Schizosaccharomyces pombe: one gene and its partner. The protein of the gene in region 1 interacts with the protein of each later gene in a pairwise test. Each region holds a gene or a part of one and is shown on either strand. Other genes may lie near its edges.

Evidence for each region.
Region 2: the proteins of rbm10 (region 1) and snx12 interact in a two-hybrid assay, tested with the Schizosaccharomyces pombe proteins (one large-scale study listed by BioGRID).

What each region holds. Positions count from the first base shown.
Region 1 is NC_003424.3:1,512,123-1,516,474, forward strand, and holds rbm10 (RNA-binding protein), read right to left. Parts: upstream 2,613-4,352; 5' UTR 2,507-2,612; coding exon 2,249-2,506; intron 2,195-2,248; coding exon 1,964-2,194; intron 1,893-1,963; coding exon 1,287-1,892; intron 1,245-1,286; coding exon 642-1,244; 3' UTR 561-641; downstream 1-560. Other genes in the region: rps2202 (40S ribosomal protein uS8), read right to left, coding at 1-67; ssz1 (putative heat shock protein Pdr13), read right to left, coding at 2,967-4,352.
Region 2 is NC_003421.2:872,030-878,557, reverse strand, and holds snx12 (sorting nexin Snx12), read right to left. Parts: upstream 4,468-6,528; 5' UTR 3,951-4,467; coding exon 918-3,950; 3' UTR 755-917; downstream 1-754. Other genes in the region: U4/U6 x U5 tri-snRNP complex subunit Dim1, read left to right, coding at 9-34, 116-156, 240-350, 404-619; SPOM_SPCC16A11.03C (uncharacterized protein), read left to right, coding at 4,502-4,608, 4,917-6,210; U3 snoRNP-associated protein Utp13, read right to left, coding at 6,487-6,528.

The DNA of each region.
Region 1 (4,352 bases):
GACGTCCACGGCGCTCGGCGTTGACGATATTGTTTAAACAATCAGCGAGAACAGATTGACGAACCATTTTGTGTTTCTGACGAGAAGCGCGTTAGTTTTCTTGAGTGTCTTGTTTAAAGATTTCAAGAAAAAAAGGTTCCACCCATTGGGTTCAAGTATTCACTGAAGAATAAATGTACCAATAGACTTCCGCTCACATCTTGTAATATTTAATATTTCATACCTGTTTTGGACTACTTTTACTTTATAAACTGTAGGTGGTAAAAACAGTTTGCAATTTCGCGAAATGCTTGTTTTGTATCTACAGGAGCAGTCACATAAAAACCCTACCCTATTTAACTCAGTACTGATTTGATTGACTTTGGGTAGTTTCAAAATAATAGAAACTTTAGAAATGTAACCTGAAGGGCATATACGGTTAAAAATAAAGTGTTTCTCTTAAACTGTACGGAATTCCAATGTTTTAATATACCAAGGGGAAATTACTTTATATAGAATATTAGACGTTTAGTATTGAATTGCCATACTTTACAAAATTTGTATTTCCTCAAACACAATAAGCATAAGTAGGAGACATAAAATCATGGTATTAAATTACTGTAATATTAAGAGATTTTCGACGCAAATAAAAAAATTCCCTATTATAAATTATTGTTTTTATCATTTTGAAAATACAAAGACCTTGCTCGGTCTTTCACTCTGTCAACCGGAGTCATGTTGATCTGTATTTTACTCCCCTTGTTGCCAAGTCCAACACCGGGCAAATACATCGTCGGTTGAATAGCTTCCTTGATCCCATTTTCGTTAGTACCAAGACCACTTCCTTTGTTCCATCCCATAGAATTAAGCATTTTCATGCTAACATTAGAGGTGGAGTGAAAGCTTGAGCCCTGAGATGACTTTTTAGCCTCAACTATTGTATCACTAGAAGCAGCAGGTACTATTCGACGTTCAGTAGCGCGATCTCTGTAATCAACAGACTCAGTTTGACGAACTCGGTGCATCAAAAGCTCTGCAGAAGAGACAAGTTCGTGGTTTTTCAGATTATTGTTGTGCATAATAGACTGAGTAATATGTTTTACTACATGGCCCCAACTCTGAAACTTTCGCTCACACAAAACGCATATTAAAGCCGATTTCCACACAAAGTGTAAAAGCAACTTTTCTTCTTCTTCAGAGAGATCAGGGATATTGTCTTTTAATTCCTTCTGCGCATCATTCCATCTTTGCAATGAAGTGGCAACCTATACATATCAGCAGGTTTATGCTAACATTAAGACACATACCTTCTTAGAAGCAGGTACATCTATGTAATTGGATGATCGTGCACGCTTTTCTTTTTTTGGTTTCTTATTTACTTCAATTGGTTTAAACTGATCTGTATCAATGCCTTCAGGAACATAGATCGAGCAATATAGTTCTGGGTCCCAATAAACGAGATAACCAGTTTTTGTAGGAAATTGCCATCTTGCAGATTCCGTATATGCAGGAATTAAAACTCCATCATGAATGTAATCAACAGACACTTTCCTAGAAGCTAACGTGAAGCCCTTTCCCGGGTACGTGCGGGCTTTCATAAGTGCTTTCGCTGACTCATCTACATCTTTAAATTCTAGTATGGCATAACCACAAAACGCATCATTAAACTTATATCGAATCATGAAAACCCTTTGGACGTCAATTTCTAATTTGGAAAGTCCCTTCCATAACGTTTCTTCAGAAAGTGAACGGTCAAGGTTTCGTAATATAAGGTATACTGAGGGTACATCACTTACATCCATGTCGCCATTCCGTTTACTGATTTTATGATTTCCAATAGCAATCGAAGCCTGATTCCTTGGCACACGACATTTGAAGCAAGACTCTCTATATGAATAATTTAGAATATCACACTACTCCAACAGTTAGTAAGTAAAAAAAAATTATATGTGAAAAAACAATATTAATTGTTAAAATTGTTTACATTTTGGCAACACCAACCCTCAATCTGCTCTCTGGCCGCACGTGAAAAACGTACAGACACATCAATACCGTCGATGACCAGCGTTGGAAAATTGGCTTCCATCCAATCCTTAGAATCCTGTAAGGAAACAAATTTAGCGAAGGCAAAACAGCGAGATTTTTGTGTTTCTTTCTCTCTTATTAGTGTAACAGTAGAAACTTTAGCACCCGTGGCGTACAACGCAAGTTCAATCTTCACGCATTTTTGTTAGTATTTCCTTCAATAAAAATTAAGTCTGAATCACACATGTTCTTCTAATATTTCCGGAGTCAACCCTTGAAGAATGATTTCTTGATTAGGAACACCGATGTGTCTAGAAAGGGGTGAGTTCCTGTCCCTTCCATAATTTCCTTTCGGACGATATGAATCGAGTAAACGAGGGTTGTCACTACTAATATTTACATCGTAATCTCTAGATGCACAATTGTCCGATATATTACTGCTGGTCGAACCTTTCTCTTCAAAAATTTCTTCAAAACCATTTTCTGAATAATAATCCTTCATCATGTCCACAACGAGTTTTAATTATTTAAAATGGTCTGTCTTATAACTAAACGAAAACTATTCCAACCATCTCAAACATAATTTGTTTGTATTAGGTGAATGTGTCGTCGTATACTTATAAAATTATCACCACCAACATTTCCTTGCAGCAACATCATATCATTCTCTCAATATAAATCACGAAGTGGAAGTTGAATAAAATTATTGAAGTATAGTACATGAAATTTACTTTCAGTAAGTCAATTTAAACTGTCAGTTTTTGAAAAATATTGCTACGTCACATGAATGAAAAAATCAAACATTTTATATGCATAAATGGCCGTGTAATTTAATTTTAATTTAATACAGTCTACCAGCTATTCTAGCTTTCCTTTCCTAAACCCTCTTCTCAACAGATCAGACATAGAAAAAAAACTATGACATAGATAAATTTTTATGATTTTTTATAGCCAAGCCAAAATTATGCAGTAGATCCACGAACGTTAGTTCCCTTGCCATCCTTAGGACGTGCACTTGCCGTTAATTTCCCTTCAGCATCTATTTGAAGAACCAGCTCGATCTTGGCATTAGGAGAAACATCAGGAAGAGTAATGGTGGCAATCAAAGTCTTGGGTATAGCGATACGCTCTTTAATCTCCTCTGGCTCCTCTTCTTCATCATCAGAAAATGCCTCTTCCTCATCAATAGGCTCCGGTTCAACTTTGGTAACCTTTACTGAACGCTCAGCTTCATAAATTGGAATAAAGGCAGCACCCTCTTTAGGAGCAATCACCTCAACAGTCTTTCGAGCAGGCAAAGCAGTCTCGATGTCGAAAATAGTAACAAAGTTCTCACCTTCGTTGATACCGATAGGAGCAGTAAGGTGAGGAACATCAACCACTTGTGCATCAGTAGAAGCAGCAATGTCAGCAGCATCAAAGTGCCCAATCAAAGAAGCTTGAACACCGGAACCGATCGCGGTAAGTTCAGAAGGGTCTAATTGCAAAGGAGTAACTGAACTAGAGGAACGGATGATAGTTTGTTCAGGGAAAATGGATTCCATCAAGGAAGTTAATTTGGGAGTATTGGAGGCACCACCAGCTAAAATAACCTCAGAAATATCAAAAGGCTCCATGTTTGCCTTTTCAACAGCTTCGGTTACAAGATCGGCCATGCGATTTAAAGTGGCGCTTGCTGCAAGGTCATAACGAAGGCGGTTAATGCTACTATGGAAGTCGATGCCGTCGGCCAAAGAGTCTACAGCAGCAGAAGCGGTAGTACCATTGCTAAGTACACGCTTAGTGATCTCACATTGAGCACGGAGCTTAGCAAGGGAACGGGCATTTTTGCGAGGATCAATTCCATTCTTCTTTTCAAACTCCTTGGCAAAGAAATTAACCAACACATCAGTTAATTGCTCACCTCCCAAATTCTCATCATGAACTGAAGCCAAAATGGTCATTAGACCACCCTTAACAGATACAACAGAGACCTCAGAGCGAGTGGCACCAAAGTTAGCGACCACAACAGTTTTGTCGATCAGAACCTCTTCGGAATACATTAAGGCCAAAATAACAGCAGCCGGGTCATGAATCAACTGCAAAACTGGAAGTCCAGCTTCATTGGCAGCAGATTCCAGAGCCTTACGTTGAGCGTCAGTAAAATAGACAGGAACAGACATAACACATCCGTTGACCTTTGTACCCAAAAAGTCCTCAGCAGACTCAGTAAGACGGCGTAAGTGACGGACACTAGCCTCATGAGCAGTCAAAATCTTTTCTTTAGGATCAGATTCTTCGTCCTCTTGAACAGTGATCTTGAAACCAATTTGACCCTCCACATTCACGGGATTGGCAGAATAATGACA
Region 2 (6,528 bases), on another chromosome or scaffold:
GTTTATAGGCACGTTGATCAAGCAATTTTATCAGGTACGCGAACTTTAAGAAACGTAGAATGTTTCTCGTTTCACAACTTCGAATCAGCTTATTAACCTTTTTTTTTATAAATAGAACAAGAGCGCTTGGTTGTCATTCGATTTGGTAGAGATCATGTATGTTCTAATGTCGATATCTACTTGGATTAAGTCTATTTAATATTGTAGGCGGATTAATTTACTAACGCGTAACGGAATAGGATGAAGAATGTATAAAACAAGATGAAGTCCTATACAGAATTGCTGAAAAGGTCGTCAACATGGCTGTCATATATTTAGTGGACATTGACGAAGTTCCTGACTTCAACAAGGTAAGTCTAAGTCTTAGTTGGAAAGTCATGTTGCTAACCTTATTACCATCTAGATGTACGAGCTTTATGACAGAACTACAATAATGTTTTTTTATCGAAACAAACACATGATGATTGACTTAGGTACTGGTAACAATAACAAAATCAACTGGCCGTTAGAAGATAAACAAGAGATGATCGATATTATAGAAACTATTTTTCGTGGTGCTAGAAAAGGTAAAGGTCTTGTTATTTCTCCAAAAGATTACTCTACCCGACATCGCTACTAGAAGCCACCATTTGCTTATGCAAGAAAATGGAGAGGGGATAGAAAAATCATAGTAATTTGATAGTTTTTGGCTAAAATGAAAAAGTCTTTTTGCTTTAATTTTTACGCATAATTTGTACTTCAAATGGTATAACCCTTCTTTTAAAGTCAGTAACAATACAGGATTTGAAATTATCTAGTGGATGAATTGTAATAAAGTATTATCAAATCCTATGAAGAAATTACATTATATGATTAAAGAAAAGCATGAACATGATTACTCTTGCTATGATTTAACAAGAGAGGTAAAAAAGTGACACTCAAGTTGCCTTATTAGTTGATCTAGCGTGTTTCTTTAAAGCCAGCAAAATCTCGTCAAGAAGGGTGTATATAACATGAGCGTTTAGAGATTGGTTTTGGAGAATACGAAATATTCTTTTCACAGCAATATCAGGTGTATAGCCGGGAAACATGGAAGCAAGCAAAATCCCTGCTTCTGCTTTCAATTGATTCCTATCAGCATAAGCTGGCTTTCGCGCCCGTGAATGACGGCGGTCTTTGGAGTGATCATGATTAGATTTACCTTCAAGTCCTCGTCTAAACTCGCGTAACTTCCTATAAATCTTCTCAGGCGTAAACAACTGAAACAGTTGTAGTCGTATACGCTTTTCCAAAGCTCCGCCAAAAAGTTGTTCCAATATCGATATATAAGTTTTTTTCGGTAACCATTGCTGCTTTGCATCGTCATTTGGAGAAAACAATTCGACTAAAAATTCCGAGATGGGACCTGAGAATGACGAGTTAGTGTTAACGTTGGATGCGTTGAAAGAATTATTAACTTCAAACCCTAAGACTTCTAAAAGCTGCTTCCATTTTTTGCCAACTTCTTTAGGATTAAACATTTGTGGTGCTGTGATATTTTGTTGTGACAAAAACATCCTCAACATTTTGCTGTCACAAACCTCTGGCATTCTGAATAATGATTGAAGATATTCTTCTAAAGCACCCCTTCGATATTCCAAAACATTTTTGTTTAAAGAGGTGATGATCGATTTTTGAGGAAATTTTAAAGATCTGACTCCAGGGTATGTTTGCTTTAGCTGCTTATGCAACTCTGCAAACTCTCGATACCGTCTAGCCACCATCCATCCGGAACGGACATGTCCATTTTCAAGTCGTTCAATGCGTATGGTGTAAACAGCAAAGTCTGGGGTGTTCTCCTCTTTGCTAATTTTAAATGAATCAATAGACACCCGAGAGCGATTAAAGAGTTTACTGTCTTCTTCTTGCGACATATACTGATCTCGTTGACGTTCTTTGCGGTGAATTGCTTTTTCAATCTCTTGATGGTTTTTAGTAAGGCTTTTCAATTGCTTTTGGTCAGCAACCAGCTCAGCCTTCTTTATAAGAGTGTTGATAGCGTTTAATTGAGCTTTCAACTCCTCGATGTTATTGTTTAATTCATCGATACTTTCAGAAAGTTGGAGATCACCTGGTGGAGCAAATAAAACTTCTTCTTCATCACTATAGGTAGGATCATCCAATTCTAAATCCAAAGGAGAGAGGTTTTTATCCCGAGAAATGGACGAAGAGACAGATAACTGAATAGAGGGAGAAGGAGATGAATTGATGGATTTTGACGACGAAGAAATACTAAGATATGAAGGTTGTTTTGATATCGCTGGTATGTTCTCGCCCAACTCTTCTAATCTACTGAACGTGGCAGAAGAATTGGTAGACTTATGATCAGATACTACATCTTGGGCTAGGAACCTGTAATAGATCTCGCTGTTAACGAATTCAGAATAATCACTGTTCTGCATGATATCGAACACATGCTCTTGAGCCATAAGCATTGCATTCCTAGCCTCTACCCATAGATCAGGGTTTAAGTTATCTTTACTTTGGTTAACGAATTTATTAATTGTATTAGTGAGAGGCTTTGGGATGTCCAGTGGGTTATCGACGCTTTCAAAGTATGATTTGACAATGGCTGTAAAGTCTGTATGGTCAGAAACGATATCGGAAAACGGCGCAATCATATGCGCATTCAATGGATCATCCTGTGATTCTTTTAGGCCTTCAACTACAAGCCAAAAATGCAAATAGCGAGATCTGTTCTTTCTCTCCATAAATTCGAGAAAACAGGAAACCGCCGCCGAGTCAGATAGGATTTGAAGTAGTGATTGCACTTGTTCAAATAGCACCGCTTCTTTATGCTGAAATGGAGTTCCAGAAAGTAAGGAAATCCTTTTCTCAGCAGTAATTATAGCTATCTGTAATCGCTCCCTATATTGTTTAAATTCAAAATCAAATGCTTCGGTCTGTTCAAGTTGACGCCTTTGGACCATTAGTTCAGAACGTAATCTTCGGGCATCTGAAATATTAGAGATTTTTTTAATTTCATGAATATATTGTTCAAAAGAGTGTTGACTATCTTTTAATCGGAGACGACGTGCTCCAACCTGAAAGTGATTAGATTGCTTGCGAATGGCACGTTTCAGACGACGAATCTTTCGCCGACGCTGAATTATACTACCGCTAGCCTGAATAATTAAATAGTTGAAAAAATCAGGATCTGAAATATAAGATACTAGCGGTAATAATGTAGTATTAATAATAACCTCTGTAACGAGCGAAAGTACAAGAGGGCTGGTTTCATAATAATTCGGTAGAATAATAGACAAAACTTGTGTCGTCCAATTTCGTAAATATCTCTTCTGAGCTACCATGGGATTTCCAGAAAGAAGTACTGCTTCATGCAATCTCCCATGATCATATTTCGCCGCAACTTCACGAGACAGTTCAGAATGGTCAGTAAAGGATACTGCCTTATTACCTACAACAAGCTGTTCTGCTTCAACGAATAATCTTAAATGTTTTGTAATCAGTGGTAGAACTGTTTTAACCAAAACATCAGCAAGATCAATTTCATCAACTCGACTTAATAACACCATAAGACATTTTCGCAAATGGGATTCTATACTGTTTGAAATTGTCGGTTCGGGAATAATTTGATAAGACCATACCTTAATATATTTTTGCATAAAATGTGAAATAATGGATTCTATCTCTTCAGAAATTTCAGGTATTCCTGGATATAATGGCTGACGAAGAAGAAGTTTGGAAAGTGCCAATTGACGCGCTCGTTTTTGGAATATAGCTGGGTTAACAAGAAATGGCTCAGATGTTCCAAGATTATTTTTATTTTCAAACGTTCTCGTCTCCAAACAGTACCACAACAAACAACCAGAAGCCCATAAATAGATAATTTTGACAAAGAAACTATGAGCAAGTATCCATAAGATGAAGATACCTCCAGTGATAAAGTAAAAGATATGCTGCTGGTACATTTGGTCCTATAATGGTAAGAGCCAAGTCCTTCTATCTATGGATTTTCTAGTTGGAAAAATGACATTTCAGAATTTTGAGGCAGTCGTTCTTTTTTGCAAACAAAGTGCACGATAATTTAAATTTTTTTATATAATTATTCTTCCTTGTTAGAAAAATGTAAATTAAGTATCTTCTACTACCGGAAAATGGTAAGCAAAGATCAGTGCACAAAAAATCCTAAACGTGAGATTTTGTAATCAGAATGACGAAAAAAAGAGAGACTTATTGAAAATTGAGCAATTATTCAAGATACTCCCAAATAAACAGCCAAGTTGACTAATTAGTCGAAATAGCCACTTTTCACCTCAAAACTTTGGTTTATATTTTATCGTACAATAACTGAAATCAATCGTCCAAAGATGTAATTTATAGCAAGGAATTAAATACTTTACTTCCTTAAATATTCAATCTTTATGAAAGCTTGACAATGGAGCTGTTGTAGTCAGAATTTATCAAAACAAGTGTTTAGAATTGGTTAGCAAAGTTAGGAAAGTACTTGACCAACACCAAAATGTCAATAGCTCAATTGTTTAACCAGAGTTGGGTAGAAAAATCAAAATATGTCCCTGTAAGATTAAGTGATGAGGAACGAAAAATTTTGAGCTTGTTAGAAGCAGCGTAAGTAAATCCATCTTATGGAAATGCCTGTTGGCCGAGTCCCGTTTGAAATGTGGAATGTTCAAGGGTTCCTTATTTTAAAATATTACCAATAAAGAAATATTTTTCTAATAGTTATTTCCAAAGTGTTTGATTGTGCGCGATTATGTGAAACTTTTACAAGAACTGTTCGCATAAATTATTTCTCTTGTATATGAACTGTTACATTATTTAATTATTATTGAACACTTTCCCGTTTCTCGGGACATAAAATTATACGATCGTATCTGTTTTTGGTGGATCGACCAAAACTAACAATGAAATTATAGACTTGAAGTAATTGATTATACGGGCCATGTCGACATTATCTCTTATACCACCAGGACCAAACTGATGGTAAAATACTTGAACGAAATGTGCAGTATAGTGATGGGACTTGTCACTGCAATGGATATTAAAGCAGGACGTGATTTACTAATTGGAAGAGACCACAAATCAAATGCTAGGTTTTTTCAAACCGTTTTTGAAATTGGAAGGAGATACAAAATTATGAATCCCGAGAAAATGCGTGCAACATATGGTGCTGTTATGTATATGTGCCAAGACAGTTTAATTCCAGATGTTCGTAGTCAACTTGGCTTTGATTTCGTATCACCCATAAAAACTGTATACAATGTTTTGGAAAAGCACAAACTTTTGGGTCTGCTTGAAGAGAAACAGCTTTTAAACAATCTTTTAAAACAGAGCGATCCTCAAAGTAATGCCAATGCCAAAGCAGAACTGTTAAAAGAACGGGAAGAAGCTTCAGAAACTCTTTTGAAAAAGTATAATCCAGGAAAAGATGAAAAATTACAGAAAGTGCTTACGGACTGCTTCGCTTCTTTAGCTGATCATGAAGCTTTCCTTTTAGCTAATCGAAATCCTGTGGAAAAGATGCGTGCCTATTTACATAAATTTTTTAATCCACACGACACTAAAAATGGTAGTTTAAAGATTGGATATATGACTGGTGCCAAATTAAATCACGACCATAAAACTCAATTTTTCTATGTTGATCAGAGTTTAGTGTTTTGGTCCTGTATGATGGACCAAATGTTTCTTTTATGGTTAGAGAGCGACGCTTCTTTACTCGATAAACATTCTAGGTACTTCATTAGTGACACTGGCCAAGGTTTAAATCGTGTTCAGCTTTGTCCATTAGTTCGATCTACAGTTACCAGGATTCTATCATCCGTTCAGAAGCAACAAGAAATCCCTTGGATGGGAAGCTCTGTAATACACTTAGGTGATAGGGATGTTCCTAATGCCCTGATGTTTATTGACAAATATCGCCAAGTACCTCACATATTAGCGCCATTGGTCAAAGTTTTACAGCAACTAGAATTTTTACGTGATCCATACTTGGTTCAGTATATCGAAAACGAATATGGAAGCGTCAATGGACTTCAAAAAACAATTTTGTTAGACTTTTTTCGTCATGGTTTTAATGGTCAGGGATCTGATGGTGGAAGTTGTATTGATGGTCGGCTCACTAGTGCATGGAATTGGACCAACGAAATTACTAAGAAGAAGTATTATAGGATTCTTTTAATGTCCGGCTTTCTCAACTTTGAAGGAATCTGACGTTATTACATCTTTTTTTGCAAATCGGCTTTTCTCCATCACTCGTAATTCATTTTTCCACAAAAAAAAAATACATATGAGGATAAATATCATTCTTTCAGTTACCCACTAAACAAATTATTATTCAAAGGATTCTAACATTTTATTAAGTGATCCAGTAAATTATACACAACCAAATATCCATTATTTTAACCAAGTAAAAAAAACCCAAATTTAACAGGTCATTTTTAAATTAAGAGTCTTCATTCCAGAATTGGGAATTAGGAAGAGATTTTTTTAAATAACATAATCCACTATATAGGAATCCTCAATGAGATC